Oryctolagus cuniculus: one gene and its partner. The protein of the gene in region 1 interacts with the protein of each later gene in a pairwise test. Links are inferred from orthologs where the notes say so. Each region holds a gene or a part of one and is shown on either strand. Other genes may lie near its edges. The genes, in order: FGFR1 and GRB14.

Region 1 (3,802 bases):
TATGTCACAGTGAGTGCTGGCCCTCAAAATTAAAACAAACAAAAAACCCAAACAACCAAATAATTATTCTTAAAAAAAAAAAAAAAAAGAGAGAGATTCTTTCCAACGTAATCCAAAGTTCCTGAGCAAAACTGGGGGTTGGGGGGTGACAGCCCTTGCTGAAGCCACAGCTGGCTCACCTGTTCCTGCCCACACATCATGTGTGGGACTCCAGTGTCTGTGTCCTGGAGCAGCAATGGACAGCAGCCCAGACCCGAGGAGATACTCTGCAGTCACTGCTACACAGGCCTCCCTCCCTCCCCTCTGAGTGCAGCCCCCTCCCGCCAGCCTGGTCGGTCTGCTGCAGGTGATGGGAGGGCCAGCCCGGCTCTGTGCCTACCGTCCTGCGTGCAGGCCCCCAGCAGGTTGATGATGTTCTTGTGCTTCCCAATCATCTTCATCATCTCCATTTCTGAGATCAGATCGGAAAGATCTTTCTCTGTTGCATCCGCTTTACACATAAACCAGAAAACGGCATGAGACTCCTTTGCTCTGGGAGGGAGCAGGGCAGGATAAAAGCCAAGGGGACCAGCAGACTGTGTGCCCGAGGGACCCCTTTGTGCAGAGGCTCCCTCCCGCTCTGCTCCTCCACCAAACACTTCATTTCCCTGCTCTCATATGGGAGTACTGTTGTGAGTGAGGCAGGGGCAACGGTGAGCAAGCTGAAACACACACCTGACTACAGCCTAGGCTGGTGTGCAAGGAACAGAGGGAGGAGACACTGCTCTCGCAGTGCAGAGCGCCCCTCCCACTCCCAGGTAAGCTCAAGAGGCAGCAAAGCAGGCAGGGGCAGGGAAAGCACCAGAGGAGGGGTCCGATTCGGCGGGCGGCTGCACACAGTCTGCTCGGAAGACGGGAAGGGGCTGTTTTACGCAGAGACACAAGCATCACTCACACTTCAACATCTTCACGGCCACTTTGGTCACACGGTTGGGTTTGTCCTTGTCCAGCCCAATGGCCTCCGCCAACACCACCTGCCCGAAGCAGCCCTCTCCCAGGGGTTTGCCCAAGACCAGTCTTTGGCAGGGAGGAGGGAGAGAAATTGGCAAGAGTCAGGGTTGGTAAATGCCAAACACACAGAGGATACCCAAAGGCAAGCAAGAAATGGACAGGATTCTGTCTGGAGGCACTGCACATGCCTTGACTCCCCGGAAGGTCCTGGCACCCACAATCTCCACCCTAAGAGCCACAACAAAGGGGTGTCCTCACCTGTCTCGAGGCAGCTCCCAGCGAGGGTCTTCGGGCAGCTCATATTCAGAGACCCCAGCTAACATGGGGGTCCCGCTGGAGGAGAGCCGTGAGGGCCGAACCAGAAGAACCCCTGAATTCATGGATGCACTGGAGTCAGCCGACACCTATAGGGAAGAGTGGGGTTACCTTCTAGCAAGGGGATGGGATGCAGCCGCAGAAGCCTGAGTCTCTTGCGTCTGAGGTTCCTTCCCCAACGTGGAGCCGCAGAAAGACTGCGGGAGGCCGGGAGACCCGTGTTCTCATCCTGACTTATTTCTGCCACTGATCAGCTGTGTTGGGCTTCACTCACCTTGGAAATAGCAGACCACACACACCTCTCCCAGCATGACCTGCCACAACGCAACACTGCAGTAATGACTCTCATTCGTGCCCCAATTCCTGGCAAAGACCCTGCCTTGGATGATGGATTTCTAACGCCCAAAGTTAGTTCCAGAGTTTGCACAGGGTTCTGAGTGCCCGCCACTCAGACCTGGGAACTGACTTGGGTCCTCTTCTCTCTACCCTGCTTCTCTGTCCCTTCAGCTGGCCCTGGGAGGTGCTCAGATACACGGCATCAGCTACACATACAGACCACACAGGACTCTCTCCCCATGCATGTGAACAGGGTCGTTTCAACAGGGGCATGGAGGGTACAGGGAATTTTCTAGGCTAGACCAGTGTGAAACTGACTCTGGAACACTGGGTTTAGGCCCTTCTTCTAACACGCCTGGCCCAGAAGTCAGAAAGCAAAGCCTAAAGGGGGAGAGGAGGGACGGTGGAGAGGCTGAGGCATCGGGGGACCCTGCGGATGTCCCCGGAGGCACAGCAAGAGAAAGCGCAAGCGTGCAAATCCCCCATCTACTTTCTGTTACCTGTCTGCGCAGGGGGATGCTCTTGGCCAGCTTGTGCACGGCCATCTGGCTGTGGAAGTCGCTCTTCTTGGTGCCACTCTTCATCTTGTAGATGATGACGGAGCCCACCATGCAGGAGATGAGGAAGGCCCCCGTGCAATAGATGATGATCTCCAGGTACAGGGGCGATGTCATCACGGCTGGTCTCTCTTCCAGGGCTGAGTCGGTGTGAACAGGGTGTTAGCAGGTGCAGGGGAGCCCCAGGCTGACAAGGGGTTTCCCCACTGCATTAGAAAAACAACACCCATCTCCTCTGCCTCATTTAGGGGTGTTCAGAAGATGTAAGCTAGGGGTGGGGTTCTGGCACCGAGAGGGTCAGGCATCCTGGGATCCCTGAGGCGTCCTTAACCGGATGCAAAGTCCCTAAGTGCTAAGCACTAGACATCTATTCTCATTTGGGAGCCTCCTCACTCAGCTGCGGCTGGGGGGATGGTTGGATACCAGGTATCCCCTCTCAGGTATCCCGAGAGGGGCAGCTGAGAAGTCACTTCTGGATGCCTTTCTCAGTGTCACTGCAGAGCCTCGGACACTTATCCCATGGGGACAGACCGTTTCTGATGAGGTCCCAGAGGCAGGGCCGAGGCCTTGGTCACTTGTGTCTGCCCCAGCACCTGAGTGTGGGCGGCGGCACCCGGCCTGTGTCCTGACACCTGTGTCAGTCACCTCCACTAGACCAGACATGTAAATATTTACACCTAGCCAAGCCACTTGCAAAGGGATTCCACTTCCCAACGTGTCTGAATTGTTTTTTCTGTGTAGTTCTCACAAGAGTTCTACTCACGGGCTTTACCTCCTAACAAACACTCACAAAGGAAAAGGGAGCGGCAGGTGCCTTGTTTTATTCTCTGCCTGCCCTCTTTCCATCTGGAACTCACTGCCACCCCCCAAAAGCCAAGCCAGTTCAGCCCACCTGTCTGTACCCGGGAGAGAACTCTCATCCCAGCCCCACCCTCGCGAGGGGCCCCTCTTCCCGTCACCGCTGTCTCCCCTCCTGATCCGCCCCTCAGAAACCCTGCAGCCAGCCACAGAGGTGGCGGGAGTTATCCCCACCCCAACCCAGAGAGAGGCACAGGACGAGGCCCAGGCCCAGGCCCTTGAGGACCTCAAGGCCTGACCGGCAGACGACAGAGCTGATGACAGAAGTGTTTCTGTTTTACTCCTTTCCCCAACGTCGAGAAACAAAAGACAAATGATGGGGTGCACAGACAGACGGGACGAAGACAGGACGACGATGAAAACAGAGAACACTTCTGTGCCTCAAGTGGAGGGGGGTGAGGACAGAAGGGGGCGGAGTCAGACAGGAGAGCAGATGGCACCCAGACCCACATGCGGGACACGCGGAGATGCAGCACACCCAGCTCCGGTCACCACCACCCTGCACAGCTGCAGGCTTCTTCCTTCCTGGCTCGACACAGACCTCCCGCCGGGGACAGCAGCCAGAGAGGATGCAGGGGGACTGCCATGGCCCCACTGAGGCTGCCTGAGGCAGGCCTGACTTAGAGCAGGTCGTGTTCACTTGTCTAGAAAGGTGGCTTCTCCCCAGCCAGAGGACCTGGCATGCAGGCTGGACAAGTGCCGCTCCCTACAAGCATTGAGCACCTCTGGGCTGAGGGCCTACATGC
Region 2 (4,529 bases), on another chromosome or scaffold:
CCTTACAGGTTGGCCTCCCCTATCAAAGATGCCAACTCAGAATATTCCCATGCACTTGAAGAGTAACTCCCTCCAATCCTTATGCAAAACACATGCACCACTTAGATTTCACCTCCCAAAAAAAGTATATATACCAGACTTCCCTACAAGCACAAATCCTCCAGTTTCTATTACTGTGAATTAGGAAGAAATCATCTACTTCCTAGGTTATTTCTTCCATTTGTAAAAATATAAACACACATTGTTGAAGCCATCAAAGGTAACAGAGATGTGGAAAAGGGAAAGAGAACAGTAGGTGGGGAAAATGACGAACTGTCTTCTCCTCATTAGACCCCTCTTCACGGGTACCTGGTTGCCTACATCTGTCACTTCTACTCCAATAAAAACAAGGAGAATTTTTGTAGCAAAATTTCTCTTTATTTTGCTAGTTCAAAACTGGGAGAAAGTGTATGATGAGATGAATTATGCTAGAAAACCTTATTTTTATTGTTCATGAATGCATCATCATGATTTATCTCTTTTTGGTTGCTTGGTTCTTAAAATCTTAATTGCTGAAGTAAGTCCAAAACATCAGAAAAACAAAGTCCACCTTCTGACCATTACTTACAGGTCATCTGCCTTCTGTGCACAAGCCTCCAGACTGAGGCATTCACTGAAATGAAGAAGACATATGCAGTCCTAAACTCCAATTGCCTGTGCTACAGATTCACAGTAACACTTGCCTGAGCAAATGAGATTGACTTTGAAAATACAAATGATTACACAGGCTAAGAGAAATGAGCCAAGCCTTTTCTTACCCCATCACCACTTCCCCACTCCCTTCCAAGCCTTGACTTAAAATTGATACTCTATCGTCACTTAATGCTCTCCCTATTCACCTATTCAGCAAATGATAAAAACTCCCAGACGCTGCACTTTGCATATACTCACGTTCTCTTTTAACCCATCCCAAGAGGTAAGCTTTAACATTCCTGTTATACAGCTGGGAAAACTGAGGCCCTAAAATTAAAAGCAACACCAGAGGACTGTGCCAGTCAGTGAAATGATTAAGATTAGCCCAGGCTAATCCTTTGTTAGTACTGTAACTTACTGGAATTCATCAAAGACCTTATGGATTTAGAACACCTAAAATCGTTAAAAAGTTTAGCAATGCATACCTGTTTTTTCCTTGAATTTGCTTTGGGAAAGAGGCCTGCTGACAACACAGATGTAAATGGAGAACAGCAGAGCTCAGGAAAGGGGTTTGGAATAGATGGCGTTTCCAGAACATCAAGATCTTTCTTTTTTCTCCTACAGCAAGAGAACATAGGATGTAATTTACATAGAACGGAATGTAAAAGACAAACGCTGTCAGCATTAAAAAGTGCATGAAGGCCAACACACAGCACTCAGCGATGACGCTAATATTACATAAAGTAAACAGAAGAGGTCCGTGCTGCCCTTTCTGTGGGTAAAAATAAAATATGTTAACTGACAAAAATAAATCTCTTATAGTATTCCTATCTTTTTTAGGGAAATGTGCGGGACTTCGAATAAGTCACCAAGCATGGAAACTCCATGTTCAGCACTCCTGTAATTTTCCTGAGGCAGAAATGTGGATTGTGTAATTATTAATGCAAAGAAAATCCTGAGGAGGTAGACACTGCTGCGAATCCGTGCAATGGACAAAGTCCCTAAGTTACACCGAGTGAATTCATCCCTATGATATTTTACTAATCACTTCTGGAAGTTATGATCTATTAATTATAGCTTTGGTTCATCTCACTTCAAATTCCATTCACAATGTTGCCCACACACAGTCTGTTGATTTTTCAAGTGCTCAGAGACACTCAACAGCGAGGCAGTGTTTTTGAGGAGGTAAGTTAACAGAACTTGCTGGTATAAATGTACTCTAGTCCACTGGAGAGTAATGTTAACTTCACAGAAGTTGGAGCACTTTGAAAATCTGGGGGGGAAAAGTACCATTTCAATGTATGAATACAAAGGACTACAGACTTTGGTATTGTTCTAGCGGGTTTTCTTCCCTGAAGTACGTGCAACTCTGAAGGCACTTAGTGCTAAATGCTATGGAGATGGGAAAACCTTTCAATGCCTCTATTCTTTTCTGCTGAGCGGCAAGACTGCTCAAATGTCAATCCATGCTTTGCTTCCTCGCCGGGGTCTTTCTAAGACTCTAGGGGGGAAGTGAACTCATTTATGCTACGATTTTTTTTAATAATAAGATTTTTTTTAAATGCAGGGTCACGCAGAAGGGGCAGAGTGCAGGGTCACGCAGAAGGGGCAGAGGGTAATGAACCTTGAGTCCACTCTTCCCACCACGCTGCTCCCCGCCCCCCGCCCCGCTCCACACAACTCCCTGCAGATCACACGGATGGGCAAAGGCGAGAGAGACCACGAGCTCTCAATGAAACGGTGATGCTATTTATAAGCTGTGAGATCGCAATGTCCTGTTGATCCGGCAGGAGCCAGCTCCAAGAGAATTGTCTTCGGAGACTTTCTCTAACTTGGCCCAGCTCTGGGCACATGGCTCACCTCCTAGGACCGCCTCCTCACCCCCTCGCCCGCTGCCAAGCCAGGACACTCCCCCGCGCCCTCCGAGGGCTGCCTACCTGTCTGCAGCACAGCCGCGGGTCCCGTCCGGAGCCGGCACCAGAGCTCGCGCGTGCAGCCAGGGGGCCCGCGCCGGGTCGTGGGCGTCGTCCCTTCCCTGGGCAGCGCCGCACACCTGGGCGGCCAGCGGCGAGTCCCGGGCAGCCGCCCTGTCCGCGGCGCTCTGCCCATCTTGCAGGGAAGTGGTCATGGTTGCCGGCCCGGGGGCTCAGGCGGCATGGGAGCCCGGGCGCCTAGGCTGCGGGGTGTCGGGAGGCGGGAGGCGGGATGCCGGCTCGGCGGCCCGAGCGCCCTGCAGGTGCGGTGGCCTGGCCGCCTGCGCTCCGGCCCCGGCGGCTCAGCAGCTCGGCTGAGCAGTCTGCGAGGCGGCGGGGGAGGGGAGGGGGCGGAGGAGGAGGGTGGGGAGAGGGGAGGAGCGGCCGGTGGGTGGGGGCCGCGGGCGGCGGGGCGAGGCGCGGAGGGGGCGGGGAGGGCGCGCGCGCGGCGGCCCGGCCCGCGGAGGGGCCCGGCGCGCTCGGGGGAGGTGTCGTCGGTCCTCGGCAGCCCGCCCCAGGACCTCAGCTCGCCGCTGCTCGGGTGGCCCCGACCGCCGCCTCCCCAGGTGGGCGCCCTAGTGCCAGGCTAAGCCCGGGCCAGGGCGGGCCCAGCGCTGCTCGAGGCAGGCTCCAAGCGGAGCCCGTGCTCCCCGCACGGCTTGCCAGGCGGAGCGGAGCGGAGCGCGCCGGCGAGGCAGGGGTTCGGGCAGCGCTGACTCTCAGACTCTTCCATTCTTCCAGCTCTGCGATCTGAGATCACCTAAGCTGTCTCTGGGCCGCCATGACAGGCGCTACCGGGCCAGGAGGCCAGGGGTCCACGGGGCCAGGTTTGCCCTGGTCCGTCTCCAGGTGCCTCTTCATGCACTCTGAAGCCAAGGATTGGGGCGCGGCGTGGGGAGAGGAGGGAGAGAGAGCAGGGAGTACGCTCATAGACAACTACTGAGATTTTGAGACTCCTCAGGAAGTCATGAGTAAACCAGGAGGGGTCTGGAACTGGAAAGATTATTTTCTTTTCATGAGAGCAGTTTTCATTTCATGAGTTCCTACTCTGCCTTTTCCCATCCCAGGCTCACAGCAGCTCCCGAAATTAAATACGTACCTTATTTTGCGCATCAGGAAATGGGGGCTTCACACAGAGTACTAGTAACTGATGCAGTCAGGATTGCAACCCAGAAGCACCTTCTCTAAGACCTGGACCGCTTGGAATGGTAATGACCTCACGTGCAGCCGCCTCCGAAGTTCTGGGCGATAGCTGTTCCTGCTCTTCCCACACCTGACCATATCTCCACGCACTGCTGAGCGTTTGCGAATGTTTTACACACTCTGTTCTTTCACCAAATTAGGTAACGTCTGTCCCTAGCATCTGTTTCACCAGTTTGTCTTAACCTCCGCAGCCTCTGTCCAGGGAAAAGCAAACGCCGCCATCCTGAAGAGATGGCAACCCGTGCTGCCATGTGGGCTTATGTAACCCCCTGCAGTGCCCGCATCTCATATGGGCTCTGGCTTGAGTCCGGGCCGCCCTGCTCTCCATCCAGCTCCCTGCTAATGCTCCTGGGGAAGTGGCGGAAGCTTGGGCCTCTGCACCGGAGACCTGAGACCTGGAAGAAACCGCTGGCTTCCACCGGCCCCAGCCCTAGTGGCTATTTGAGGAGTGAGCCGGCATATGGATGAGCTTTCTCTCTACCCCTCTCTTTGTAACTCTGACTTCTAAAAAACTGCATCTTTTTTAAAAAGAGAGAGAGATGGCAACCCACACCCTCATCTCTGCGTCCCCTTCTCCACCGGGACACCCACCACTGGCTGTATCTAGGAAGGGTGTAACTCCCAGCAGGTAAGGAACAGGGGATATCCCATGAAGAAAGAAAACCTTTGAATCAAGGAGTT

What was found.
Region 2: the proteins of FGFR1 (region 1) and GRB14 interact in a two-hybrid assay, tested with the Homo sapiens proteins (2 studies listed by BioGRID, with this or other methods). The link is inferred for Oryctolagus cuniculus from reciprocal best matches to the Homo sapiens genes FGFR1 and GRB14.

The regions. Positions count from the first base shown.
Region 1 is NC_091433.1:88,156,890-88,160,691, forward strand, and holds part of FGFR1 (fibroblast growth factor receptor 1), read right to left. Parts: intron 2,339-3,802; coding exon 2,135-2,338; intron 1,395-2,134; coding exon of another isoform or gene 1,394-1,394; coding exon 1,249-1,393; intron 1,057-1,248; coding exon 935-1,056; intron 491-934; coding exon 380-490; intron 1-379. UniProt on the Homo sapiens protein: Tyrosine-protein kinase that acts as a cell-surface receptor for fibroblast growth factors and plays an essential role in the regulation of embryonic development, cell proliferation, differentiation and migration.
Region 2 is NC_091434.1:76,882,830-76,887,358, reverse strand, and holds the start of GRB14 (growth factor receptor-bound protein 14), read right to left. Parts: upstream 2,994-4,529; 5' UTR 2,801-2,993; coding exon 2,610-2,800; intron 1,291-2,609; coding exon 1,158-1,290; intron 1-1,157. UniProt on the Homo sapiens protein: Adapter protein which modulates coupling of cell surface receptor kinases with specific signaling pathways. Binds to, and suppresses signals from, the activated insulin receptor (INSR). Potent inhibitor of insulin-stimulated MAPK3 phosphorylation.